Linked DNA regions of Styela clava. The protein of the gene in region 1 interacts with the protein of each later gene in a pairwise test. Links are inferred from orthologs where the notes say so. Each region holds a gene or a part of one and is shown in the gene's direction. Other genes may lie near its edges. The genes, in order: E3 ubiquitin-protein ligase NRDP1-like; iron-sulfur cluster assembly 2 homolog, mitochondrial-like; homer protein homolog 2-like; enolase-phosphatase E1-like.

Region 1 (6,853 bases):
TTGTCCTCGCTGTAACACAACCATTCGTGTTTTTTATACCAAGTTTCTGCGCAGAATGTACGCCGACGCTTTCCTTCGTCATGCGATTGTTCCAGTGAACAATTGGTTGATAAGGCCCAAGACGTTGTACCTCTAATTTTTGTTCCAGCGGCAGCTGCGAAAACGGAGTGCGAAGTAGTGCATCAACCTTATTCATTATGAGGTCTAAGGCTAAGAAATGCGAAGCCGGAAAGAAGTGAGGAGCTCAAAAGGAATGTGGAAAATCGAAAGCAAATGGACTAAAGGTTTCTAACTGATTCAAATAGCGAAACAAGCGACAAAAACGAAGGCGAGGAAACTATCAACTCTTCAAGCAACCAACGAACGAGAAGGAATGCGTGAATATGTCAACACGTTGTTGTAAGAAACGTCGGCATTGTGTCGTCATGATTTCGGGGCTAGCCCCGATGATTTAGTAAAAGAAACAGAAAACAAACGAGACAAACGCGGCGAGTGGAAGATAAAAGAGAGAATACGATATACAATGAGCAACCGGGGCAAAATCGGCGTCGCCCCGTCGACGTTCGGCGAAGGCTTTGCGAGCGAAAAATGAACCATGTCGGGACAATATGGCTAGTGTAGACAGTCTGTGCAACCGATATTGAGGTATTTTTCGAATATTTTTTATTATACCGAAAAAACAACCGGGGCATTGCCCCGGTTGGCCCTATTGACGCGCCGCCACTGCAAATTGGTGTACTGTGCGCATTCACAAATCTTTGCGAATCAAGTGTGCCTTTTGACTAAAGAAAATTTAGCATTGAAATGGTCAATCTCAATATCAACCTAGTATCTGCATATAAAACCAATTATATATTTGGTACCATGAATACCATTTGCAAATTAGCTTGGGTTACACAACTCTCAAATAAAGGGGTAGGCCTACCAATATAGTTTGTCATCTGCTTTCCATTAAAATGAAGGAGTTTATAAATATACTTAAGGAAAATTGATAACGGCACATTATCACTCACTATCAACGAAGTCTGGAAGACTTGTCCGCAAACAGTGAAACACAAGCGAGATGACTTCTGGACTTGACACCAAGCAGTCCTGCCAATAGATGATATCCACATTGCGCGACGTTCCGGATCTTTTGAAAACAGTGGAATATAACTGAAGATCCATTTCGAAAAATACGAAATAACCATTTTCAACAGCCAGACAAAACGGAAACGTATAATCCGACTTGCAACTGACAGGAGCCAAATGGACTTTTTTTTTTTTTGCCGTCCAGTAAACAAAGTCACGTGACCCGTGCAAGTCCTCTATAAACCTGTACTTTATATTCAGATGGGAGTTTGTTAGTCTAAAAGTCATTCGAGGGGGCTTTGCCAGAAAAAGTTTGGAAACACTTGTCCGCAGTTTACATTGATATCGAACAATTCGGGGATTGGGGACTTGCAAATTTCATCCCAAGTTGCAAATTTTACGAGTATTGACACTTACAAATTGATTTACATTTAAAAAAATGTAAAAATTACTTTTGATAAAAAAACAACGTGGCACTTGCAGTTACTAATAGCTAATTTGAGTCTGTGGGTCTATCTCAGTTTTTCTGGGACTAATTTTTTATTTATTTTTCAACTGAACTACTCTCATCGGAAGACATAATGACAATTAGAAAACACTTTATTTACAACTATTTTTTGGAAACAACTGAAAGCTGACAAATAATACGCGAAGCCGCGATAACGAGACATTGTTTACAACCATGTTTGAATCCGGTATCTGTCTGGTGCAACGACTAACATACGGGTCTGGTGAGTGAGTGAAGTCAATTGTTACGTCGTTGTTGACTTTTTGCTAATCAGCATGGTCATTGTTACAAAACCAAAACAAGGAAATCGATGCTTGGTGAAACGTTATCATTCTCTTTAGTGAAACAGCCAAGCTATTTTTCTCGTTGTAACCAAAGTGACGATCGCGATATCAGAAAGATCGCTGGCTTTGATAAATTATGTACATAGTTTTAATATTTCTTTACTAATTAAATACCTAATATCTGACCCCAAAGTTGTTCCGTTTGTAATTAGGTTTGTGCGCCGCTCGGCTGATATACATCTGTAATTTTTCCGCGTTTCTTGTTTTTTTTACATAAATTCCTTAATATCATGGCTCGGCTTACAGGCAAGCTTACGTCTGTACCGGTGTGGGCATGTGTTGTCTAGAACAGAAGTGTGCAACCTTTAATACAGAAGAGCCAGATACTTAACAAAGACTTTCTAGTAGTTGTAGGCAAAAAACATGATTATGTCATTGCTATGGCTCCCTGAACAAATTCAGTGAGAAATTTGCAAGTGGTTTCTTTTCGGAATCCTTTTTTTAAATTTGCTTTGAGGGGCTAGAAGCTAGCAGTTCCAAGTTCGTTTTTCAAGTAGGCTACCGGTATTAGTCCGTCAGAACGGATCAATAGGTGGGTTTCATGACAACCAATTTAGAAAATAACTGTTCACACTAATCTGATGACTAATATCAGAATATGTTGAGTCAAATACTGAAATAGTGCCGTTTTCAAAGCCATGAGTTCTTTAAATGTCAGAAGTGCAGAATGTGGTAAGTTATATTGGTTGGGATGTTTTCAGTAAAAATCGCCAAGATTCATTTGGAAATATTTTCTGACTTTGCTGTCAAATCTGTCTAATTTTAGACTAGATTCAGACAAATTTGACTGAAATGCTGAAACCAAAACTCATTTGAATTTAACTCCTGTTGCCCGTTTTTACTAATTTATTAGAGTGTGCTCTGTACTTTACTTAAATTTCTTGCTTGCTCATCGCTGCATCGGGTGACACATTCGTGAATCTCATTGTTTGCTTCGCGCAAGCTAGCTGTTATTGTCTACCTGTATACAGTACCGGTTAGGGCATTGGCAATGCACAGTTGTACTGTCATAAGCATAGATATTAATATATGAACTTCATAGCATAACAAACCAGAACCAGATTAAACCAAATTAAAAATTCGCTCGATGGGCCGAACACCATTTGAAATTGGCACTTATTCGCAGACTGCATCATTTTTCCTTGTGGCCCGCAGAGTTTGCACACCCCTGGTCCAGTCTGGTGCACATTAGAAGCGCCATAACCTATAATAATTGATGAGCTTATTATCTTCGACGTAGATGCTATTTTGAGTGATCATAGCTACACTTTGATGGGCTATATGACGTGGCGTTTAGTGCAGTAGTGACTTATTTTTTTGGATGACATAGTCAGGTGTTGGTTAGGAATATTATATATGTGAAAATGGTTATGACAAGCCCACTAGAAGTACTTGTGGTATCAAACTACACTAGACCCTTATCTTATGCAAGACTTGTCAGTTATTTAAATTGGTCGATTTGATAATAGGATCGGCTACAAGCCCTAGTCCATTATCCAAGCCCATTATCTAGCATGCATGCATCACAGTACTGTTACTGTGTTATGTCTGTATGTTGTTTACACCAATATCAGAATATGGAGAGGCAGCTGGACATACTGAGGGGATGTTTATGTATCATTATAATGTATGTCCTTAAGTCTGTTGTGAAGTATTTCATACTTGATTCCAAAACCAAATGATTAGACTATTGAAATACTTGCTAAATTAGGTAGCTATATATGATATCGTTAATTTTAATAATTTCTGACAACTGTGGTAAACTAACTAAAACAATCTATCCCAACTCAATATCCATCAGCATATACAACACTTCGGCTGGATTTTTTTAAACACGACCCAATTTTAGTTGGTTAGCGGTTAGCGCATTGTTTCCCAAACTTTTTGAGCTGCGGACCCCTGTTTTAGAATCTAATTTTTGACGGACCCCCCATTCTATGCCGTATCAATTCCTGTGCCTAACCAACGAGGAATGGTAGCGTTTCATATACATCACAATAACACTAACGATAATAAAGTGTTGGATGAGATTGCTTCCGACTGCACAATTTATCAATTGTTTTAGCAATTTATGATAAGCACACGTAAGTCCGACTCGACAGCAAGTCTCTACCTGCATTTTGTCATCGAATTGGTTAAGATGAAAACGCTGCCTCAAACCTGTAGGTTTGTTCTCTAATTGCCCTTTCTGGCAGCAATTTCTTGCGCAACGTTCCAACAAAAATATGCAATGGCTTTAAATCAGTGGTTGAAGATTGATCAGACTCTTAATATAGTCGCGGATCCCCTGTGCAGTCATCATGAACCCCCAGCAGATCCCAGTTTGGGGAACCCTGGGTTAGTGGTTATGATTTATTTTGACCGTCCACTGACATCTCTGGTACAAATCACACTTATAGTGTACAATTTCTTTAAAATTGGTTAGTTTTTTGCAAATTATCTCCCATGGCATTTAATTCAAAAGAATATATAACTCAATTGGTGGGGAAAATAATTCAAGTGCAAGTGCTAACGTTCTGACTTGACTTGATGCTTGGTGAATTGTCAAAAGTCAGCCGAGATGCGCGGTAAGCTCCGAAATCCCCTTTTGAGTTCCACAACATATTTGGCTCGAATTTGTTGGTTGACTACCGAGGTATACATATGTATCCAAATTTTGGATAGATTTGCAATGACTTATAAATAATAAGACAAATAATAAGCCATTGCACAGGGGTATTTTGAGCCACTGGAATGTCTTATTTGACTTCCATTCCACAAATAAGGTTGAAAACCACTGTAGTAAGATGCTGGTATATGTAATGGCGAGCTTAGACCAGATTGTAGTGAGGTTGAAGAGAGTATTCTATGGGAGCTTCTGTGAAACCTCGCTACAACTACCAAAGTGCTCGTCACCTTGTTTTGATGCCGATGCTTAATCCTTTGCATATCCAAAAACACCAATAGTGATAGTGAACCAATAGTGATAGGTCAAACTCCATGTGATCTTTAGTATTATCTATGTGTTCCCTCAGTGATCCCCTTTCTGTTTACATTTTTCTTTTTACCTCTACAGAGCATCAATATAATATAACAATGGACTTATTTTAAACGCCTGCTTTACAAAAGCACTGTCAAAATGGGATTTGATCTGATGAGGTTCAGTGGTAGAGTTGATGAAGAGTTAATGTGTGTGATATGTGGTGGCGTTCTTGAAGATCCTGTGATGGTGGAAGAATGTGAGCATTGTTTCTGCAAATGTTGTATAGAGGCTTGGTTGCAGAGACAACAAACATGTCCTGTAGATCGTAGTCAACTGCAAACCCAACATTTGAAACCTGTTCCAAGGATAATGAGGAATATGTTAGGTCGACTGACTCTGATGTGTGAAAATAGAAAGTATGGTTGTGCCACAATCGTACGTCTTGATCAGTTATTGTCACATCAAACTGAATGTGATTTTAATCCAAAAAAACCTATACAATGTACTCGTGGTTGTGGCGTAGTTGTTCCAAAAGACGAAATGTCTGACCACAATTGTATCAGAGAATTGCGTTGTCTTGTCAACAAACAAAAAATTGAGATCAATGATCTAAATTTGCATAAGGTTGAAGCTAATAAGCAAATATCTGAACTGAAACATGAAGTATCTCTTTTAAAAGAGTACATTAAAGCCTTGAAAATACCAACTAATCCAAGCTTACAAATCATACAGCAACGAATGGAGCAAGATGATGTCATACGGTGGGGCAGTTCACTTACACTTGCGAGGGTCACCCGCTGGGGTGGGGTGATTTCTACTCCAGATGTAGTTTTACAAACAGTTATTAAACGAGCTCTAATTGATACTCAATGCCCATTACACATTGTTAATGATTTGATGGAAAATGCACATGAGAGGAGATGGCCTGTTGGCTTGAGCACTCTAGAAACTAGACAACTCCACCGTCGTCAATACGAGGATTATGTCACAAAAAGAATTCCGGGAAAGCAGGCTATTGTGATTTTGCAATGTGAAAATAATCATATGGGAGACGATATGATTTTACATCCAGGAATTGTTATTATTTTTGCCCATGGTGTTGTGGACGTAACGTAAATATATGTGTTATTATTATTTTTTTCATTGGTCTTGTAGCGTTTTTCGCAATCAATAGTATTTCCAAAACACAGCTTCATTATTATCGGAATGAATTTAGTTCATATTGCTTATTTTCCCAAACGACTCGTAGTTTTTCTGATCACAATAATGTTGTTTTTATCTTGGTTGCAGAGAGTTGCATCTGATCGTTTTGCATCCGTTACGACGCCGTGCCATAGTAATGACGATTAATGTTATTCATTTACTGATTGATTCGTGTTAGCTTTAATGTCTCGCTGACTTTGTTACTTCTAATTTTTGCATCGTTTTAGTCAGTGGTAAGAAAATATATCGATGTTGTTATATTATAGTGTGCGGTTACAAATTATGCAGGGGCGATGTGGACCAAAACAGGTATGTGTGGATGTGGAGTACTATATTTTGAACGGGTGGAGGCTAACTCGCCATGAGGGCTAACTCGCCATGGACCACTCGCCATGCGACGGCGGTTAACGGGTTAGCCTGCAACTGTGCGGAGGCTCTTCTTGTAATGGGAGATGGAAAGGTGGCTGTTTATACTAACAACTTCAATAGTAAAGATAAATATATTAAATTAAATGTGTTTGGTTACAATATCTACTGTGCAAATGGTAACAAAGTGACAAGAAAACGTGCTTATATGTCGGAAGGCACCGTACCGTACGGTACTCGACGCGCAAAGGATGTCTCAACTTATCATTTTCATCTAAGCATGCTAAATATATCATCATATTAATTGATTGTATGAGCACTGAATCAACAACAACGCTAAATATATCAAAAGTTCTATTTTGCTACCGGCAGTCTCATTTTATTCCAACAGCCGTTGAT
Region 2 (6,550 bases), on another chromosome or scaffold:
CTTGATCTCATTCGAGCTTGCAAATTTCTGCTTTTCTAGCGACCACCCTGTATATTTCAAATGTGGCATCCAATGATATCCAGCGAATCTAGAATTCAACAAACTAATTTAAAAGGTTCCACCGAATAGCACATAGCCGTATAATTATCATTTCATATTTACATAAACATTTAAAAGATTCTCCGTAACATTTCGAGTGCAATTTTCGGATTGGACTCATTTCTTTCAAAACCTTTTGCTCATTTCGACTTTGTACATTCTTAGATGCATCAGATGGAATATATACGAATGGGTATGGGTGGGACTAAGGGTGGCACTAAGGCAGGGTCGACCAACCCATGGCCTGTGTGACCCGTGTGTGATCACATGTGACCCGCTGAAGGTTTCCGAGTGGCCCGCGCGATATTATTCGAATCCCAATGTTTTTCATAAATCTGAGCCATTATTGAAACCTCTAATAAAAAGTTATTCCTCGTCGTTTAAACGCGCGAGAAGCACCGCCCAGCTATCGAAAGCTATTTTTATGTCTCTTTGTGGGCGTAGTTGCTGGAGAGAGATGTTTGAATTTATTTTTATCGTATGCCATGTATTTCAATCTGATTCCCTGTCTTTTTTCTGCGAAGCTAAAAGAGGCAGTTTTCATGACCTCAATATTCGACAGTAGTTACTTGTGCGAGCAAGTTTTTTCACAGATGATCCATGTCGAATCCCCCTGAGATCACTAATTTCGCTAATGAAAAATTCGCTCTGCATTGCTACCTCGTCCATCGCACCGAATATTGACAAACTTATTGGATGAAAGCGGTGTCATACTTGACATTGAAATATATATGCGTAGTAAAAACTTTTGACTTTACTGTATCTTCGTATTTTCATTGTGCTTATAATTTTGGTTTGCGGGTTTTGTTTGGTTTTCATTAATCTGCAGTCGGCGTAGTAAAAACTAGAACATAACCACCATGTCAAGTGGCCCGCGCGATCATTCGTGAACTAAATGTGTCCCTTCGGCCAAAAAGGTTGGACCACCCTGCACTAAAGAATGCGTTTCACTTACTTAACATCTTCTGAATAGCGTTTCATCTCTTAAAGACATTCTCTTAGAATTCGGTTTCTAACTAAAAGAATGAAAAACCAGTGTCAATTACATTCTAACATGGGTATTTTTACTGATATTTTACATGATGCTTGTAGACCTTATTCATACAAAAACATTTAAGCTTAATTTTGATATGATTACTTTTTTTATACCTACTTTGTTGCTCCGAACTTTAACACTCGAACAACTTGACTATTGCAGTGACGTTTTAATGCCCCCATATAGACGTTACTTCGAGTCATTCACCATTTACATATTTTAAGTAACCAATGACATACACTCACATGAAAACCTTATTTTATTATTTTAGTCATCAATCAAAAATGTCAAATTCGTTAATATCATAATTGAACAAGCAAGTAATTTGTCTGAATTTATATCTAGGTATATTTAATTATTGCTTATAGCATCCCAAACGCTTGCCAACTAAATTATTCTTCCATTAAAAGTTATTGATGGTCTCGGACAAACCTACAATTTATCACATCTAAAGCTCTTGTTATTCAAGTTATAAATATTGAGTGGTACTGGTAACTGATCTTGATGTCCACACGATCGTATTGATACCAGTTGCTGTACAGTCTATACCGAGATTTTGTTGCTTACAATTATATTTTGTCGTTTTATTGTTTTCTGTTTGACAAAACAAATAAACTTTCCGCTTAAAATATGATAAATCTTTTACTATTTCGAGATGTTCAAGACTTCAAGAGCAAAACGTCATAATATATCAAACATACCTTCACATTAAAAATGTTAGTCAAATTAATAATCGAAAAAATTTGAAACAAACTAAGAATTATTTACAATGTTTAGTTAAATTTAATTAGCTGATTTTGATTTAATTTAAATTTGGCATACGACTCGATCCCTCTGCATAGAGAGATTTCGTTAATTTTAGTCCCCCTATGCAGAGTGATCCCAGTCGTACGTCAAATTTAAATTGAATCACGATCACTTTGCACGATGACATAAATCATGTTTTTTTCATGTCATTTTTATGCATAATTAAATAAAATATAATAATAGAAATAGGAAAAAAATTGTTTGACACTATTTGAGGACACGGAAATTTTCTTAAAAAAATTCAACCAACTGTAAAATATTCTGTTATTCGTTTTTCATATCTTGTTTTGAAGCTCCCGACGAACACAAACGTATTTCAGGCAACATTGTACAACAAGATAATAAATATGCAGATGTATTTCATAACGTTGGCCTCCGAACTATGCCTCCGTTTTTGATTTTTATTGAATGTTACATCTAGGACTCGAAGTTCCGAGAGATTGTTCCTTTGAGCGTTGACTGTTTTTACAATACGGCGTGCTCTTTTCCAAAATTTTGCTCCGTGATCGGTTCCTCATTCATGCAATAAAACACCAGATGCATGCACCATTTCATAAATGAAGGTTTGTCATCGCCGATTTCATAAATAATTTCTATTTAATTCTATATTCCCTAGCGTCACTACCGGTATACTCTCACATCTTTATTTAGGTTGATAGTAATTAACAGAGGCTCAATTGCCACAATAAACATATAAATACTCGGCGAATTTCTGATTCTTGATTTCATCCAGCTCGCTGTTTTACGGTAACTTGACACGCTGAGTGATATTTTGCCATCTACATTCTGACACGCCTCGACCGTATTTCGTCACCCCTAACTTGACTCGACGACCCTATTTCGTCACCGCCAATTTGACACGCAATGACCGCATTTCGTCAGCCCTATTTTGACACCCCCAATATGACTACTATTTAAAACTAATTTCAACTATCATTTATATTTATTTTTCCTAAAATTACCAAAAAAATACGTCATGTTTGGTATTATATATGGCCAGTACAAAACGTGCTGCTACTATTCTGACATAATGAAATCGAATCTATGAGAGTACTTCTTTTACCCCAATTTGTCGTTATGCTGGCGGTTTTCGTGAAATTGCCCATCCAAAACTGTAATATTTCGAAATTTCCCAAAGAATCCACGAGGGGGCGTAAAATGTTTTTACCTATTTTATTCTCTCCGATACCCGATTTAAATATATTAGACGTTTATTATCGTGTATTAGAATCTAAAAAAAGATAATTGTTCAATTATTTAGTGAGTTTAGTGGAAGTATAAAACCAATTTTAACCATGATTTATATATATTTTAACTATGATTTATATATATTTTCTCTAAAATTACCAAAAAATGCACTATGTTTGGTATTATAAATGACCAGTTCAAAACGTGCTTCTACTATTCTGTCATCATGAAATCGAATCTATAAGGTTTCTTCTTTTCCCCCAATATGTCGTTATGCTGGCTTTATTGGAGGTTTTCGGGAAATCGCCCATTCAAAACTGTAACATTTCGAAATTTCCCAAAGAATCCACGAGGGGCGTAAAATGTTTTTACCTATTTTATTTTCTCCGATACCCGATTTAAATGTATTAGACGTTTATTATCGTGTATTAAAAACTAAAAAAGATAATAGTTTGATTATTTAGTGGAAATACAAAACCAATTTTAACTATGATTTATATATATTATTCCTAAAATTAACGAAAAATACGCTATGTTTGGTATTATATATGGCCAGTTCAAAACGTGCTGCTACTATTCTCTCATGATGAATTCGAATCTATGAGGTTTCTTCTTTTCTCCCAATATGTCTTTTTTCTGGCTTTATTGGAAGTTTTCGAGAAATACCTGCCCCAAATCGAGTCAATATTGAAATTCAGTCAATTTTAAAGAACCCTTTAATACAGCTTGGAATTTGAAATTGGGACATTTACAGTTGTTTTAGTGTGTTAATATATATTAAAAAAATGAATAGTGTGATGACTAATTGTTTTACCTTAATTGCTATCGGTAAATCACTCAAAATATACACTTCCCAGCACAAAATGATTGGGAACATTTGATTTTACGTGTAGGAATTTTCTGCGATTCTGTCAGCTCCAATTTCGTGACTTTCTGCTAACTTCACAGAGGTTTCGAGAGTATTGTATACAACAAACAATCACGCATATTTACGATTGTTTTTTCTTGTGTGAATGTGAATAGGGTAAGATTTTCGTATATATCCGATGGGTCTCTAAGATTGGACACCTGCAATCATGACACTCACTTTCGATCTGTATAGTCGAGGTAGCCCTTGTAATCATTCGACCGCAGGGACTTGCATGAAATCATAGGGTATAATACAACTAAATGGAAATGTGCCAAGAATGGTTGTATCAGTTAAGGTTAAGATAGTTTATTTTGAACATATAAAGTATCTGTTTTTTTTATTGCAGTATCATGGTATTCAAAACTCAGTGCTGCAAGAGTACCGGTACGGTATTAAGATTGAGCACAAACAGATGTGTTTAGGATGTTATAATATATTCTGTATATTTGTGCATCAAATGTAGTATTTTTAAAAGTAGTGTAAACCAAATATCTGAGAGGCGATTAAAATTACAAGACAGGAACCACCTATCTGTCACCACTCTTGACTATTTATCATTCTTGTATAGTTTTAAATCTGTAAATAAATAATTTACCATTTCTAGTGCTGGTGAACTTGATGATATACCTTGGTTAAGTCAAGATAAAAACAACTTTATAAAAGTCTCGAATATACTCAAATGCACCATGTCTACTGTTACGACAGTTGGGAGAATTTTCACACGTTTGATGCCATCTATATCTCATATTTCATCATCACACACAGTGTGTCGATGTCTGTCTCAAAATGCTCAAACAAAGCCTTTGAACAATGCTGACCTTATTCTGACAGAATCTTGTGTTGAACACCTAAAGAAATTTTCTAAACAAGGAGAGTTTCTCAGAGTATCAGTGGAAGGTGGTGGGTGCTCTGGATTCTCATATAAATTTGATCTCGATACAACGAAAGAAGCAGATGACAGAACGTTTACAAGAGATGGAGTTGAAGTTGTAACAGACTCTGATTCTCTTGATCTTATTAAGGGATCTAAAATTGACTACCAAACTGAAATTATAAAATCTGCATTCAGAGTTATTGATAACCCACAGTCGGGTACTAGCTGCTCCTGCGGAGTTTCATTTTCAGTTGATTTATAGTATTTTATATTGTTTAATGCTTCATACAACTATTGAATGTATTCATGTTATAATTTTTTTAAATCATATTTACTGTGACTCCCCTATTATGAGTAAAATTGCGTTTTGTACAGGCTCAAAGTTTGAGTCTTATAGTTGCACCCTCGTGTTGAGTAGACCAATAGAAGCTTCCTACCCAGAAAGTTCAGGTTAAATGGTCTTAAGTGCCAAATCTCAACCTGCCTTTGTTGGGTTTCTTGAAAAACTGTTCGCTATGCCAACCATTATCTGATAACACACAAAAATGTGTCATAGCTGTATTATTTATTTTTTGTTCACTAAAGGTAATACACACAAATCAAAGTATTCACACGAAATCTGCATGATTTGGTTCAATGTCACCGTAACGATTTCACTTCTTGATGACTATTCTCACAATTTTGTAAATCAGTTCCATTGTACTTCTTAAATAAAGACGTTTTTCTCTTAAGCAATTACTGGTGTAAATTCAGAACTTGGATATATATTATTATACCATAAATGTTTGTTAATAGCTTCTGCATTTTTGTTTTTACAAGATTTACAGAAATATATTATAAAGAGTTTCGGAATCAATTTCATTTGGCAGGTTTGAAAATATACACCTTTATTTATAATATTGTTGAGAAAAGAATATCAGACACAGCATGCATAAACCAATGTCCTCTAGGTGTATCAGTTTAAATTTGTAACTTTTGAATGGAAGTCTCAAATATTACAATTTTTTTAATTCATGATGTTTCCATTGTTCCAATTTGTTATTCAGCCCCTCCATCATGAAGGTGCATTAAAGAAAGGGCATTTGAATATCAACTTTGGAATAGAATGCGATAGAATAATTTTGTTTGCCTATTTTATATCAAGTTGTGTAAAGGGACTGAAACCTATGGGCAGGGGGAGTCCTCGAACTCTAATCGGAATAAAATTGTGGCCCTTTGTACACTTCGGGAGTACCGAATTTGCTAACCAACCACTTTAGTGTCCATACACAGGTGATAAGGCCAAGTGTAGGTAACACTCACAATAGTTAATCAAGGAATGTTTTGGCAGATTAAAACTCCCATGCAGTCTGGACAGCATCATTTTGTGGCGGTGGCAAGGCCTATGAATTTATCAAGCTGCGGGTAGGGCAATATACAGATTTTACCCATCATCACAAAACTTTCTAACAATTGTACACGGTTCTATATATTTTGTACAAAGCATCAACGCTTCATTTCTAATATCAGGTAAGAAAAGAATAAATATAGAATGACAATGAGTGCAATGCATGATTAAAATAAAAACACTACAGATAAAAGGTAAAAACTAGCGAAATTAGATTTCAGTAAAATGACGGGATGATCATGGGAATCA
Region 3 (7,983 bases), on another chromosome or scaffold:
CGCAAACGCGGCGACCGCTCAAAAGGCATTGCATGGTGATTTGAGATTCAATAAGGTCAGAAGTTTATTTAGTAGATGAGTCGTCCGCCTCTCGTACGGTACCGGTAAGTAGTGTTGTCTGATACAGATTTGTTTGTTTGTTTTCAAATTTTGTTTCAAGAACTTTAACTACTTCTAATACTGGAATACAGTCAGACAGTATTAGATAGCCATATTGGGTCTCGTGTAGTTTCGTACCTAACTTACTTCTAGTAGGCGTAGAAATAGCGTAGATTTTTTCACGTGTCAGTTCTAACCCCCACCTGACCTCACCATCCAAAAATTACGTCACTACGACGTCACAGTGACGTAATACAGTAATAGAGCCCTTCAAACTATGCGAACTGTCATCCAAGATGTGCAGACGAGGGGTCTGGTATAGTTTAGTACCACATGTACTTCTAGTTTACCTGGCTCAACAATTTTTGCATATGTCAATCCTAACCCCCACCTGACTACGTCACCGAAAAATAACCTCATTTCGACGTCACAGTGCTGCAGTGGCGTAATAAGGCCCACCGAAGTATGCGGATGGTCGTCCAAAACACGCAGTCGATCACCCGAAATCGAGCAGGCAATTTCTCTCGTTTTCTCGTCACAACGATCACGATAGGAGAGAGATCGCCGGCTTTAGCAAGTTCGTTATCGGCGGCTCAGATGTCATTTCGGGCGATTGTAATTATACTTTGGTAATCCCTATGACGTGATGGTGACGTCATAGTGACGTAATTTTTGGATGACATAGTCAGGTGGGCGTTCGGAATAACATATGCAAAATTCGTTATGCTACGCCCACTGGAAGTACTTGTGGTACTATACTAGAACCCCAGACGAGAACCCGAACAGCCATTTCTCTCGTCGCAACGATCCCTATAGGAGAGACATCGCTGACGTTAGTCAGTTCTTTATCGTCGGCGCCGATGTCATTTCGGGCGATCGTACGAGTATTTGGCAAGCTCTATGACGTGATTGTGTCGTCGTAGTGTTGTAATTTTTGGATGGCGTAGTCAGGTGAGGGTTAGGATTGTCATGTCAAAAGATTGTTATGCTACGCCTACTAGAAGTATGTTAGGTACGAAACCCTCCAGTCTGCCAGTCTATACTGAGAAAAGTGTATTTTTTAGCCTTATTTTTTATTGGTGTGACTGTTTTTTTCTGATAGACGAAATAAATCTTTCTCTCTTGCAGTGTTCCATGTCATTGATTGATTTAAAGGTATTGGTTAATTTTACCGAATCCCAAGCGGGGATTGGTTATGTGTGAGAGGATTGCTGGACTCTTCGCCGCCGTAGGGTGGTTCACGTAACCGCTGGTCGGTTCAGCTTCCTCCACCATCAAATCCATGCTTCCGGAAAACAAATAACTGACTAGTCCCATACCCAAAATGGGATGATAACCGGACGAGAGGCCGTGGTTCGCCATATGGTCAAGCTGTCTTATCGGCTTTCCTCTCCCTATAGATAAATATGTAAATACTATCCTGACTGTACAACCTGGCAGTTTTGGTTCTATTGAAGTAAAAACTGAAAAATCCTAACTGCTGAATGAAGCCAAATAAAAATGTGATGTGAAAATAAATGCTATAACTGCTTAAATAATGTCAAACAAAAATGTAATGTGACAATTTTTATACATCCTTAATTTTTAATAATTTCGTCGAAAAAATGAAAATTTCACATCACATTTTTGTTAGGCGTTATCCAGGCAGTTTTGACATCAATTTTTTGTCGCTTCGGCTAGACTCTACTCTCAGGATCTTGATTTCTCTGAAATTTGTTTGTTGTAGTTTTATTTATTGCCCTGTGTTCCAGTATCCAGGTAATGTTTTTGTGTTGTATCAGTTCCATGGGTCTAAATACGAAAAGAATATATAACCTAACTAAAAGTATCATTCGTACTTCAGTACTCTTCTCTGTTCATTTTTGCTTGCTAACATCTTGAATCTCAGTTTATTTTGAGTTTATCACTATTCAGTTTTTGTATTTTTTACTGTTTTCATGCATGTTTTTTAGACGAAGGATCTCTGAAATCGGGAATAAACAGTATTGATGTACGATAGACTAGTTTTTCAATATTTACAAGCTGACAAGCACTTTGTTCTCTCAGAATATTGCTAATTTCACTTACTACAAAAATAAAGGCTCTACCAATAAAACAACGCGAATGGAATTTTTACTCTATTTTCACTTTTTGACCTTTTTTTTTATAGATAAATTTTATTGTTTAATCACCATCAGCAGCATCAATAATGATGACTATATATAAGTCATTGTTTATCTGTCGAGGAAGCCTTTCCAGTTCTTTGTTTGGAAAACAACTTGCTTCAAACTCTTATTCAATTAGTCAAAATGGTTTGAGAATCCAATACTCGTCAGAATCTATTTCAGAATCCCTTCCAAAAATAAAGTCTTTTGATAGTAGCATGATGAAGCACATGTACAGTTTCAATTTGAAAAATATTGACAAATTGAGGGGCAAATATAACAGTCTTGTGGCTACTGCTTATCAAGGAGGTGGTGAAAAGGCAATAAAGCGGCACGTAGAAAGAAATAAAAAAATTCTTGTTCGTGAAAGACTGAAGAAAATTTTGGATACAAATTCACCTGTACTAGAAATTGGTACACTGGCTGGATATGATATGGAATATGGAAATATTGCTTGCGCTGGAGTAGTAACTGTTATTGGTAAAATTCACAACACATGGTGCATGGTTGTTGCTAATGATGCAACTGTAAAAGGTGGTTCAATTTATCCTATAACTCTCAAAAAGCAGTTGAGATGCCATCAAATTGCTGAAGAAAATCATTTGGCTTCTATTTATCTTGTGGACAGTGGAGGTGCATTTCTACCATTACAATCTGAAATTTTTAATCCTGGTGGTAGAATATTTCACAATCAAGCTGTTATGTCCTCACAAGGCATACCTCAGATCGCATTTGTGTGTGGGTCGTGTACTGCTGGGGCCGCCTATATTCCAACAATGGCTCAAGAAGCTGTGATAGCTGATCAAATTGGTACTATATTTCTTGGCGGTCCACCGTTGGTACAAGCAGCTACTGGTGAAAAAGTGACACCAAACGAATTGGGGGGTGCAGATTTACATTCTCGATTGAGTGGTTGCACTGACCACTTTGTCAAAACCGAAATTGAAGGTTTGAAAAGGGTTCGGGATATCGTAGCAACAAGTAATTTGACAAAAGTGAAGGGAGAGAATTTCTATTATGAAAAAGATAAAACCGAAATATGTAAACTTGCTGCTGGTAATAAAGAATATAGTGTTGATGCTCATGAGATCATTAAGTGTTTGGCAGATAACGATGGATTTCACGAATACAAAGAACAATATGGTACTTCACTTGTCACTGGTTTTATGTTCGTCAGTGGTATCTTAGTTGGAGTTATCGCGAATAATGGCTACATAACAGACAAAGCTGCTAAAAAGGGCTCCAATTTTGTGCAATTGTGTGGAGCTCGACAAATTCCTGTTTTATTTCTTCAAAATTTGTGTGATGACGAAACATTGTCTGTGAATGATACCAGCAATTCTGTTATCAAATCAAGGGCCTCCTTCATGCAAAGTATTGCCACTTGTCCTTGTCCAAAAATAGTGATCAGTGTTGGAGGATTGGTAGGCTCACCTCACATGCATCCGATGTGTTCTTTATCTATGGGTGCAAGATTCCATTTTGTGTGGCCAAATGTTAGATTGGGTGCTGAATTTTTGTGGAACAGTAACTCTGACATTTCGTACTCAGAGTATGAAACATTGAAGCATAAATCTACAGCATTCTATGGTGCGTCTCAGTGTTGGTACGATGGCATTGTTTTGCCAGAAGACACAAAAGAAGTTATATTCTTCTGTCTTAGTATATTTGAACAGGAAAGAGCAACACGCCTACAGCAGGCAAATAATCAAGCTATTTCGGATCCCAATAATATGCATACTGTTATCAGATTGTGATTTATCAAATGAAACCGCAAATTAATTTAGCATTTAGTAGTTTTTAATTTGAACGAACATGATTGCTACAATTTGTCGGTGGTTAGTGTGAAAATTGTATACTTTGTTATATCAAAATCAGTGCAATACCGGTGGCGGTAATATATATTTAACTTGTCTTGGTAAAAATCTTTAGCATCTATCTAGAGCCAATCCTCAAATACATTTTTTGTTCACTTCGTGCCTAATTCACCATTTATAATCAAAGTCTATGCAGCATATTATGTCTAAAATTATTGTGTATAAAAAATTATTCTAGATATACATTTATCTATTGTTCCTGATTAAAGTAAGGAGTATTGAAATAAGTATTGAATATTGAAATAAACTTTAAAATTAAGATTACTGCGCTTTAACCGCTGTTATCTCAATATGGGGGCCATGTTCACAACACGATGATCATGTAAGTACTTCTAGTTGGTGTGGCGCAACCATTTTTGCATATGTTATTTCTAGGAATACGAATACGCCAGTGGTTAGGAATAACATATGCAAAAGGGGTTGTGACGCGCCAAATAGAAAACTTACGGCGTTTTTAGTGAACATGCGCCCAATATGAATACAACATTAATTACCGGTAACTTATTAATAATTAATGTGTTTATATTATAATTCAAATAAAACAGTTCAATATTCAATATTATTGTTGTATTATGATTTATTGAGATAGAGGCCACAACTATTTGCAGAGAATCATGCCAAAGTATACCAAATAATTATGTTTATTATGTAAATATGTACCTCTTCGATAGTGGCTGATTGGTAGTCCTTGTTTCATATTTGTCATGATTTAAAATTTGGTTGGATCATGTTCAGTTACTGAGTATTGGTAAAAGATTTACTCTTCATTTAATCTGGTAATAATGTTGTAATGTATATCATGAAAAATTATTGAAATAGTTTTTTTGTAATTCCTATGAGTTTTTTGTTATTTTCACAGTTTTTATGTAGTGTTATTTCTTGTATGGTAGGTTTTATGACTGATGGCTTTCGTGTTGTGCTATTTTTGATCATTCTGTGAATTGATAATGAAAGAAATTGATGAATTTGAATTTGCTGGGTGAATACCACAACAAATCCAAGATACTCCAATGGGGTAGGTGGAATTTGTGTAATGTAAGAATTTTATCATGGCATGAATGTCAGAATGAGAAAATTAATGACTGTCAAATAGTTATGCAGTGATATTCAAATAAAAAGTTCATTCATTTTCAAGAATTTGTTTATTCAAAATTTGTCCGTGAGATTGCAATTTATTAATGATTTTACAATTAATTAGGTGGATATTATAATACATTTTTTAAGTTTGAAAAAAATTCCCAATTTGTCAACTCAACTGTCAAATGGTTATGCAGTGATATTCATATTAAAAGTAGGCCTTTTCATTTTCCAGACTTGGATGATCGAAATTTGATTTTACAATAAATTTGGTGCATATTATAGTGCATCAAAATTCAAAAGTTAAAAAAAAAATCCACATTTGAAGCAGTCATGTTCAATAAATGTCCACACGGTTTTCCTTTCATCATATCTAACTTTGTGTTCAGGGAAGTACCAATCTATACCACAAAGGCTCACGTCTTCATGATTGACCCAGTGACGAAGAAGTCCTGGGTTCCAGCAAGCAAGAATGCGATTCCAGTCAACTTCTTCTTCGATTCAGCTCGCAATACATACAGAATTATTGGAGTTGAAGGACCCAAGGTGGGTTGTTTTCATACAATCTACATTCCATATCCAGTAAATATAAATACTGTAGGCCTACATGGAAAACAATTGAATGAGCCATCTATACCCATTCCATCTCCTTATTGACTGATTTTAAACTTGCTTATTCCATCAACATTGACACAAATACTATTGATACCCTAAACTAAATAGTTTTCATTAAACTCCTGTTAATTCAGGATGTATTTTCGAGGCCACTAACTATTCATCAGTGATCAGGGATAATAGATTCGTAATTACCGTATATATGATCGCAAATAGGCCGAGTTTAAAACTCAAAAAAAAAAGGTGCCAAACTAAGGGACCGAATAACTTTACGATATTTTATTCGTTAAGGGGCGGTGATAAGGACTCTTATCGAAATTAACCGCGTTGTGGACGATCAAAGGAAATTGTTTTATGCTGACTCAGGGACTTTCTTAAACTCCCGACAACAATCCCTTCCATTAATACAAATCATGACGCATGAAAAGCAATATGGACTTTATTAACATGAATTTACAAGTGAGAGTTACGAATAAGAATCTACGGCCGTCGCTAACAAACAGAAATGATAAACTTGAGAAATATTTGTGTTACAGCAATTTTGTTTTCTTTCTGCGCCTTTCAAAAGGCGTCTGGCGTGTTAAGATTCGTAGCGATCTATAAGAATGTGTTAATACAGCGTTATTTCTTTCCTTGAAACAGACAAGGAACGAAATTAATCGCCGTTGTGGCGATCAAAGGAAATTGTTTTATGCTGATTCAGGAACTCTATTTTAAACTCCCGACACAATCACGACGCACCGAAAAGCAATAAAGACTTTGTTTAACATAAATTACGGGTAATAATCCACCTACGGCCCTCCCTAACACGCAGAAATGATAAACGTGAGAAATATTTGCGTTACAGTAATTTTGTTCTCTTTCTACGTTTTTCTTGAGGTGTTCGGCGTGTCACGATTCGTAGGACCGGCTTATGTGCGATTTTATAAAAAATCGCTGTTTTAAGGCCGTTTTTAGGGAGTCGGCCTATTCTCGATATAGGCGTAATTTCGAGTAAATACGGTAATTATTTTATTCAATATTTAGAAAAATGTTTTTATTCAATAAATTATAATTTTGAGCAATTGAAATCTTCAATTTCTGAAAGCTATGAATAAATAGACAAATCAAATCACTGTTTATATCAACTATCCTCTATTAAAAAATTCAAACACATTGATAAATGGACGCATGATGACATTCAATAACCACATTCAAAAATATTTCTTTAGAATGTGTTCAGAATAGTGAAAGAATTTTGGTCATCCATGCTAGTGTTAATTACATCCCTCCGTTTCGTGATAACACAAACTTGAGAAAAGATTCAAATTGCTTTAAAATATTTGGACTGAACAGTTGGGTTAAGTGCTTGTATTTATTTTGAGATAATAAATTATTAGAATGTCAGAAGTCTGTGGTAAAGCAAACAAACCATTTTTCATTTTATGTATTTAACATTGTGTTGATTTTTTAAAGAGAAGTATGCACCTTGTCTTGAATTCACAATCGACTTTAATTCCGCTGTAAACAGGTTCACACGACTATCTGAAGATGTATTGAATAATTAATGAATAATACTATGCTGATTCCGCCACATGCCCGACTCATCCATTAGATATCATCATGTTATACCTTAGTCTTGTCACCGTCCTTATATTATTAAAAGATTAAGCCACTTCAACAAAATATATAGCATATTGCACAAGACAAGAAATGTTGAAGCTTAATAAAGATAATCTTCATACATCTGTTTTTATGTTATTTGATCCATATACTTGGGACAATAAGTGCTGATTAGGAACATCAACTTATCCGTTCCGCAAGATGATCTGACTGTGGAAATAAACAAAATCAACTTCACAATTTTAAGTTTGTCCTTAATTTTGTTTCGCCTATTTTAATTCGTACTCTTTAATTGGCTATTTTTGTACAAAAAAACTATTTTCGATTGGATGAACATGCACGCCAAAGAATTTCATTTGGAAAAAAAAATGCATATGATGCCTTTCTGTAAAGTACTGTTCCGTTACTGTAATATTCTTATTGAATGAAATATTTTAATTTAAATTTAAATGGTGTATGCCAAAACTTTGCCAGTTTTAGGAATATCTCATTGAAAAATGGTATTTTTAAACTTTAAACACCAATTTATTATAAAATGTGATGAAATGAGATTTTTTTAAACTTAGCAT
Region 4 (7,249 bases), on another chromosome or scaffold:
TTTGATCCCTTTCACAGTTGCTTTACTAAAATCATCTTTCGAGAGGAATATGTGAAACACCTCCTAATGTAACAATAATCCTGTGCCTAAGAAAAGAACATGAATAAGTTACCTGAACTAGACTTCTTGCAACAAACACAGATTCATCTGCATTAAAAACCAGCATTTGTTGTCCCATTGCATAATAATATGGACCGAGTTTATGTAGATCTACAACTGATGCATCAGCCTATGTTGTTGAATGTAAAGAGAAATAACCAAACAGGGAATGAACAGAGCCACATGCAAAATATGAGGAGAGAATGCAGCAAAACCAAACATAGCACACACAAGGTTCATAAATTAAATAAAATATTATTTGACAAATTTTTGTGTTTATTAAATGAGGGACCACGACTATGGCTGGAAAAGGCTAATAACAGAGAAGTGAACTATAAAAGAAGTGAAAATTGAGCTTCAATAGTTAGCCCGCTAATCAGCTTGTTACCATACCCATATTCCTATATAAATATTCAATATGAATTGTTGTTTGTACAATATACACATAATACCTTCTGTCTACAAAAATTTCATTAGAATATTAGTTTTCAAAATACCTTCAGAATTTCTCTATAAACTTCTCTGTAAGGTTTTGTTATTTCTACAGATACAAGTTTTCTTTTAGGATTTGCTCCAAGTGATGATGCAAGCCATAATGGCAAATCCATCTTTGTACCTGAAGATTAGCTTTGCATTATCAGAATGTGTGAACCAGGAATTATACTACACGGTTTATATAATAATACATGTAGCTAGTGGATAGCCAGACAAACTCAATGGTATTTTGTTAAATTTAAATAATGCATTTCACAACATTCGAGCTAGCTGGCATACTCGTAAGAGAATGAACCTTCATAAGTGATATGCACCAGTGGAAAAAATAGGTTCAACTTAATCTATTAAAATTGGATTAAATGCGAGAGAAATAGGTCCATCCCGAATGACTAACGTAGATAGAGATTTATGTAACAGCCTGAACAGTGGCTTCTTAAAAAAAAGTGTGATGAAACTTCATAAAAACAGTCCTGTAATTTAAAATTGGAATTATGTAAAATTTGCATACTGCAACAATACATAATATTCAACTGCTGCAATACCTTCGGTTATGTCCTTTTTACCACTTCCTGGATCCAGAAAACCCAAACCAAACACTGGCAAAAGAAAGCTACATGGAACTTTTTCACTTGACATTAAAATATCATCAATACTAAAATAGTTTTGCTTCAAGCTTCCGCTCGGAGGAGCACAATCCATAAGTATAATTAGTAATTATAGGTATATTATCTATAGACAAAAGTTTAATAACATATTATTCGCTCATTGGAAACTTTATCTACTTGGTCCTTTAACCATGCAGTGAATATGATGGCCAGTATAATTCAAATGAATAACCAACTCCTGAACTCTGTTAGAAATTACAGAACATCTGGTTCAGGCTTGTACAGCAGTTGTAAACAAGGATTCATCAATGGCATCAGCCTAACGAGGCACGATTATGTTTCAATATTTATGTACAGATAATTCTGTAATTTAAGTACGTTTAAACTATGCATGTATGTACGGTACTTCCATCGGGTATAATATAGATTTAGTTGGGACTCCTGATTGACTCCGGGCAACCGAAAATATTCCCACATTATTAGTAGTATTTCTGTATTTAATAATTGATGTAATCTGGACTACAATTTGGCAATATTTTGGCATGTTTTTGGCTAATGAAAAGGTTTAGCCTACCTCTTCATGCACTCAACTTTGGTTGGGCAACTTGGCACTTGACTCCAATTATAATCAGCTTAGCGAAATCATTTTTTTGTCCTTATATTAAATACTGTTCACTCTTGTTTGGATATTTTTATAAAATTATAAAAATGGTGTGGCAAACAATCCTTATTATTTTTTACATTTCATCTTTTATTCTAATTTGTTTTTTATGTGTTTATTTATTTTTTTTTGGTTACCATATAATTTATCTAAAGCTTCTTTCTTTTTACTTATCGATCTTAAGATCGGAAAGTATGTTGATGGGTATTTGTCTGATAGACACAAGCGATATCTCACGAAAAAGAGAATGAATCCGCTCCGAATTTTGCATATGCATTCATCATATCTCGGATCAGAAGCCTATAGATTTTGAATGAGTTATGTCGTATAATTAGCGAGTTATTAATTAATTAGTGATGGGACACAAGGTGGCACTATGGAGAAAGAGCGCTGTTTTGGGGGATCGCCTAACTTACTATTGATAAATCATGGGTCTCTGACCGATATTCTCGTTTCTAATTTTATTAATGCCCTATGGTTGTGTGCGTGTGTGAATGATTTTATTTTTTTTTTCTTAGGTGAGTGAACACGTACCACTTCTTTTTGGCAATCCATCTTACAGTCTTATATTCTGTACGTTTTAAAACTTGTCCACGGATTTGTTTACTCTCCTGATTTCTGGATTTCATAATCAGTTTTTAATAATTTGTTTTTATCAAACATCTTATCGCCTTTTTGCTGATTATGGAGTCGTTATATAGACTACTCCCGATCCGATCCTGTTTGTTGAAAACCAGGCCCGGAATCCTGTTTTTCGGAGTCCTGGACCCGAATTCTGTTTGTGCTCAACACCCTCAATGCTCAACCATGGTTAACACTAGTGTGGGTGCAGATTTCAGGAATCGAAGTTGCACCGACCCTTGACCCCTGAAAAAACTTTTAAAATTTTAAACGCTTAGCGCGTATAATAAAAATCACAACAAAATGGTAGCCAAAGTTTGGATAAAATGTGGAGTTGATGGAATTGCAGAGAATTTTTGAGGTTCATGCGTAAAAGTAAAGTGTAACTTAGAAAAAGACAAATCTTGGGTGTATAATGAATCTTGCTATCCACTTGGCTGTTAAACTTGCGAAAAAATGTTGATGGAAGCTGGGAAAAATTTCATGAATGAAAAGCTTTCGGGTCAACTAAGAAGGGGATTCATAAATATGCAATCGCTTCACACGATCATAGTTCAGGTTCAGTGTGGTGCAACATGCTAAGCGTTAGGAATGTTATTCTGCGTGGGTAGGCAGTTCCGAAATCCGTGGGAGATAACCATGTGCGAGAGGATTGCTGGACTCTTCGCCGCCGTAGGGTGGTTCACGTAACTGCGGGTCGGTTACAGCTTCTTCCATCATCAAGTCCAAGCATCTGAAATAACTGGCTAATTACCCGACATACTGTCGCTGCTCTCATCACTGGGCTTATCATTTCCATCATCTAGCAATTGGGGGCCTGCGCAAAGTGGAAAAGAATGTAAGTAGCCGTTCGGGAACTCAGTCCCACAATACTTTCAGGTAATATGCATCTACATCTAACACTCCTTAATAGGATCACTTATTTCTGCCATGTCTTCAGTTTCAACTTATCTGCTAAAAATGATTTCTTATTTGTGCATTATGAAACTGACGCTACCGTCAAATAGGTTCAGTAGGAGAATTTTCACCTTAAATTTATAATACGCCCTCAGGCATAATAGATGTTCATTTGGTTCCCAGGATAGCTTAGTTCGTACCCTTCTCCATTGTCAAGACCGTTTTTAATGCCCAAATCTTTCAGTTACTTTATTTAACAACACTTTTGATGTTTATTACTTATATTCACTATTCATCTTCAAAAAGATACCTATCAATGCACTGTTTATGAATATACACCAAAATCTGCATGCGTATTAACATATTATGTAAATCACAAGTTCTTGTATAAGATTTTATATATATATATTCTTGTATATAGACACACCCTTTTGAATACAACCGTGCCAAATTGAATTGCATGAGCAGCAAATGCCTTTGTGTGAAGTCTGTTTTTGCCTGCTCCAGTTTGTGCAGTAGTAACGATTGTAGAAATACGGGTGCCACGCATGAGGAGAGATGATAATATTAATATTGAGTTATGGTTTTAACTTTCATGAAGTTTGATATCCTCCTAACCAATTAGAATACTGATATACTTTCGTGAATATGAGGAATATTGAACTGGCTGTTGTTTTAGTATTTTTAATTACACATGCCTTTGCTTTGTACTCATTTTGTGTTCTTTTTATCTTGGAATTATGTTTAATTTTGCCACGTAATTTCAACATTGCTATATAATTATTTTTGTTAGTTTTACGAAATAATACGCCATAATATTCTATTCTATGTATATCGGCTGTAGGGATAGGCATTGCTAATTGGAGCTAAGATCTGAAGCCCGACCCAAAATTCGGGCCGGAAATGTCAATCATTACGTTCGAATCGGATCTGGCTTCTCAATCGCTGACTTTTTTTTTAAATGAGGCGTTTTGACCACGAAAGATCATGGTCTGCAAAAAACAGAAGTTACCTCATCAACATGACACATACTGTACAAAACTCTTGCAATGACTATTCAATGAACGCCTAAATTAAATATGAAATTTCAGGCTTGGGTTGCAAATCCAGTTAATTAGACGGGCTCGGGTCGGGTTTAATACCCACGGGCCTGGGTCGGGGCGGAATTTTTGGGCCCGATCTTACTTCTATAGCTAATTACTTAGTCACCGCACAAAGATGGAAAGAAAAGAAATTATGACGTCAGATTCATTTACAGAACTAATTGTGACACCAGGTGATATAAATGCTAACCCCTCCCTCAAAAAAAACATTTGTTTTTTTGTTTTTTTTCAACTTCATTTTGCGAGTTATTCTTGCTTTCCAGGTATTTCTGCATCTTGTTTTTCTGTTTATTTTTTGTGTTGTTCTCTTTTTTGTCAGAATACCGAAATAAAATGATGATGAGCCACCAGACCATAAAATTGTCAGGGTATTCCCCACTTCAGCTACATTGATGGCAATAACAGTTTGGGGAATATTTGAGGGGGCGTCGGTCGGTAGGTATAGGCGTATAGCCATGTGGGGTGAAGTGTTGGGCATTGAGAACTAATGGAATATATGATAAAGAACATTAGGTACAATAAATCAATTAGAATTAACACACATAAGGTTTATAATAATGAATAGTGTTACTTGATGACTGAATGTAACCTACAGTCCTACACTTCAACTGTAACTGGCTGACCGATGTGGTAACGTATGTTGTGCTGATGAAGATAGGATATGATGTACATACCGGTAGTTATCCTGGTTACCCATATAATTGAAAGGAAAGCGTTTTCAAGTCCATTGGCATCTAAGCAGATTGTTGCCATGCCAAAAACTAAATGACTGGAATTTCTAATGTAATTAGAGGTTGAAAATTAATAAAGACAAATTTCTTAGCATAAATATAAATGCTGAAAGGAGCAATCATAACATCGATTTGGCAAAATATAACTGGTTTCAAAACACTGATGATGAAAATACAATGACAAGACGCATCATTTTTAACAGCCACGCTATTTAGACACATTAAGGACGAAATGCTTAGGTTCCTACTGCTCACAGGAACAGTTTAACCAGAGCTATGCAATTATAACATTTAGGACTGTAACACAATTTGAAATGGTTGTTACATTTTCTGCTAAATTTGTTAATTCAATTTTTATCCCTGCTAACATTAATAATCGATTTTGTAGCTTGAAACTGAAATACCACACAATAGTTTGCAGAAATCTCTAACAGTCAAACTTCCTTTTCTTTTGGTTCCATTACAGAATTTTATGCAATAATGAAGTTGAGCACAAAAGGAAAATCATTGCAAGAGTTTGTTGAAACTGATATTAAAGCAATTGTTGTGGACATTGAAGGAACCACTACACCAATAACATTTGTCACTGAAGTCCTGTTCCCATACATCAAAGAAAACATAAAGACATACTTGACCAAAAACTGGAATGAAAAAGAACTCTTAGATGATTATGAAGCTCTAAGAGCTTTGGCAGAGTCTGATAGACAATCGGAAATTGAAGATGTACCTTTAATACCATCACATGATGAAAAAGGTGCTCAAGAATCTGTGGTGAAAAACATTTTGTGGCAAATGTCTAAAGACAGAAAGTCGACAGCCTTGAAACAGTTGCAAGGCCACATGTGGCAGTCTGCTTACGCAGATGGACTTATCAAGGGTGATGTTTATGAGGATGTGCCGAGTACTTTGAAATCCCTAAAGACTGACGGAAAATCGCTTTTTGTTTATTCTTCTGGAAGTATAAAGGCACAAAAACTACTTTTTGGACATAGCAATAGGGGTGACCTTTGCCCACTATTTAGTGGATATTTTGACACAAATGTTGGCGCGAAGAAAGAAGCGTCGAGTTACATTAAGATATCAGATTCAATAGGCGAGAACCCAGAAAATATTATATTCTTGACAGATGTCCTTGCTGAAGCAGAGGCAGCAACAACAGCTGAAATGAATGCTTGTATTGTGCTACGTCCAGGAAACTACCCCATCTTAAAAGATGATCTGGAAAGATTTACAACAATAAAATCGTTCTCTGAACTTGTATTCACAGAGGAAGATATTCCAGAAAAGCGTCAGAAAGTTGACGAGTCCCTCAAGAAATAAAACTACGGTACTTAGTAATCAGTGATTGGTATTCCTAAACCTTGGGAAGCATGTGTCTTTGCATATTCTTGGTAATGTTTTGCTGATCCCAGTATTGGACAGCAAAATACTACTGATTGGCGCATATTCCCTTTTAAGCTAATAATTAGCATGCAGGCATATTTTACATAAATCCCAACTTAAATAACATTTTATTTAGGAAATAATTGGTTTGTGCATTATGTGGTGAAATTCATAAAGTTAAAAAAATATTGAAAAGATCTGTTTATCATTAAATCAACCATCCATTGAAGGAGTCCAAGAAATTATCAAGTTGCTAGTTTGGGCTTAGCAGTTATAATACAAAACATATATCTCTCTCTGGAAATCTCTGATAAAGGAAAGATTTAGCTAGCTTGTGAACCTTTTGTTGCAAAATTCTGCCCAGTGTCGAGTATTGAAATTCTAAGCATAGAGTAATTCCCTTGAAAAAGAAATTTGGAATGTCTTCGGATCCAGGACCCTATGTATGATGTAATAATAATCCAGTAAAATGAACTGATTCCATTTGAAGAATGATGATCTTGCAGTGGTAGTGATTAGACAAGACCCAGCAGGATGGAAATATTTCATTTGCCAGATGGAGCCTTACTTCTTCATCTCAAGGCTGCGAGAATTCAGTACGCACCTTACCAACATTAGGAACATGTCTTTCATCCCATATTGAGATACCATCAC

The links.
Region 2: the proteins of E3 ubiquitin-protein ligase NRDP1-like (region 1) and iron-sulfur cluster assembly 2 homolog, mitochondrial-like interact in binary tests that used the Homo sapiens proteins (3 or more experiments, as listed by UniProt). The link is inferred for Styela clava from reciprocal best matches to the Homo sapiens genes RNF41 and ISCA2.
Region 3: the proteins of E3 ubiquitin-protein ligase NRDP1-like (region 1) and homer protein homolog 2-like interact in binary tests that used the Homo sapiens proteins (3 or more experiments, as listed by UniProt). The link is inferred for Styela clava from reciprocal best matches to the Homo sapiens genes RNF41 and HOMER2.
Region 4: the proteins of E3 ubiquitin-protein ligase NRDP1-like (region 1) and enolase-phosphatase E1-like interact in binary tests that used the Homo sapiens proteins (3 or more experiments, as listed by UniProt). The link is inferred for Styela clava from reciprocal best matches to the Homo sapiens genes RNF41 and ENOPH1.

The regions. Positions count from the first base shown.
Region 1 is NC_135254.1:24,427,187-24,434,039, reverse strand, and holds E3 ubiquitin-protein ligase NRDP1-like, read left to right. Parts: upstream 1-4,960; 5' UTR 4,961-5,041; coding exon 5,042-6,001; 3' UTR 6,002-6,351; downstream 6,352-6,853. UniProt on the Homo sapiens protein: Acts as E3 ubiquitin-protein ligase and regulates the degradation of target proteins. Polyubiquitinates MYD88. Negatively regulates MYD88-dependent production of pro-inflammatory cytokines.
Region 2 is NC_135257.1:17,407,301-17,413,850, forward strand, and holds iron-sulfur cluster assembly 2 homolog, mitochondrial-like, read left to right. Parts: upstream 1-4,619; 5' UTR 4,620-4,726; coding exon 4,727-5,176; 3' UTR 5,177-6,037; downstream 6,038-6,550. UniProt on the Homo sapiens protein: Involved in the maturation of mitochondrial 4Fe-4S proteins functioning late in the iron-sulfur cluster assembly pathway. May be involved in the binding of an intermediate of Fe/S cluster assembly.
Region 3 is NC_135252.1:13,246,961-13,254,943, forward strand, and holds the start of homer protein homolog 2-like, read left to right. Parts: upstream 1-4,978; 5' UTR 4,979-5,130; coding exon 5,131-5,135; intron 5,136-5,586; coding exon 5,587-5,743; intron 5,744-7,983. UniProt on the Homo sapiens protein: Postsynaptic density scaffolding protein. Binds and cross-links cytoplasmic regions of GRM1, GRM5, ITPR1, DNM3, RYR1, RYR2, SHANK1 and SHANK3.
Region 4 is NC_135260.1:20,664,002-20,671,250, forward strand, and holds enolase-phosphatase E1-like, read left to right. Parts: upstream 1-4,424; 5' UTR 4,425-4,596; coding exon 4,597-4,654; intron 4,655-4,904; exon of another isoform or gene 4,905-4,994; intron 4,995-5,678; coding exon 5,679-6,532; 3' UTR 6,533-6,738; downstream 6,739-7,249. Other genes in the region: DNA replication complex GINS protein PSF3-like, read right to left, coding at 113-229, 597-715, 1,137-1,293; copper chaperone for superoxide dismutase-like, read right to left, coding at 7,173-7,249. UniProt on the Homo sapiens protein: Bifunctional enzyme that catalyzes the enolization of 2,3-diketo-5-methylthiopentyl-1-phosphate (DK-MTP-1-P) into the intermediate 2-hydroxy-3-keto-5-methylthiopentenyl-1-phosphate (HK-MTPenyl-1-P), which is then dephosphorylated to form the acireductone 1,2-dihydroxy-3-keto-5-methylthiopentene (DHK-MTPene).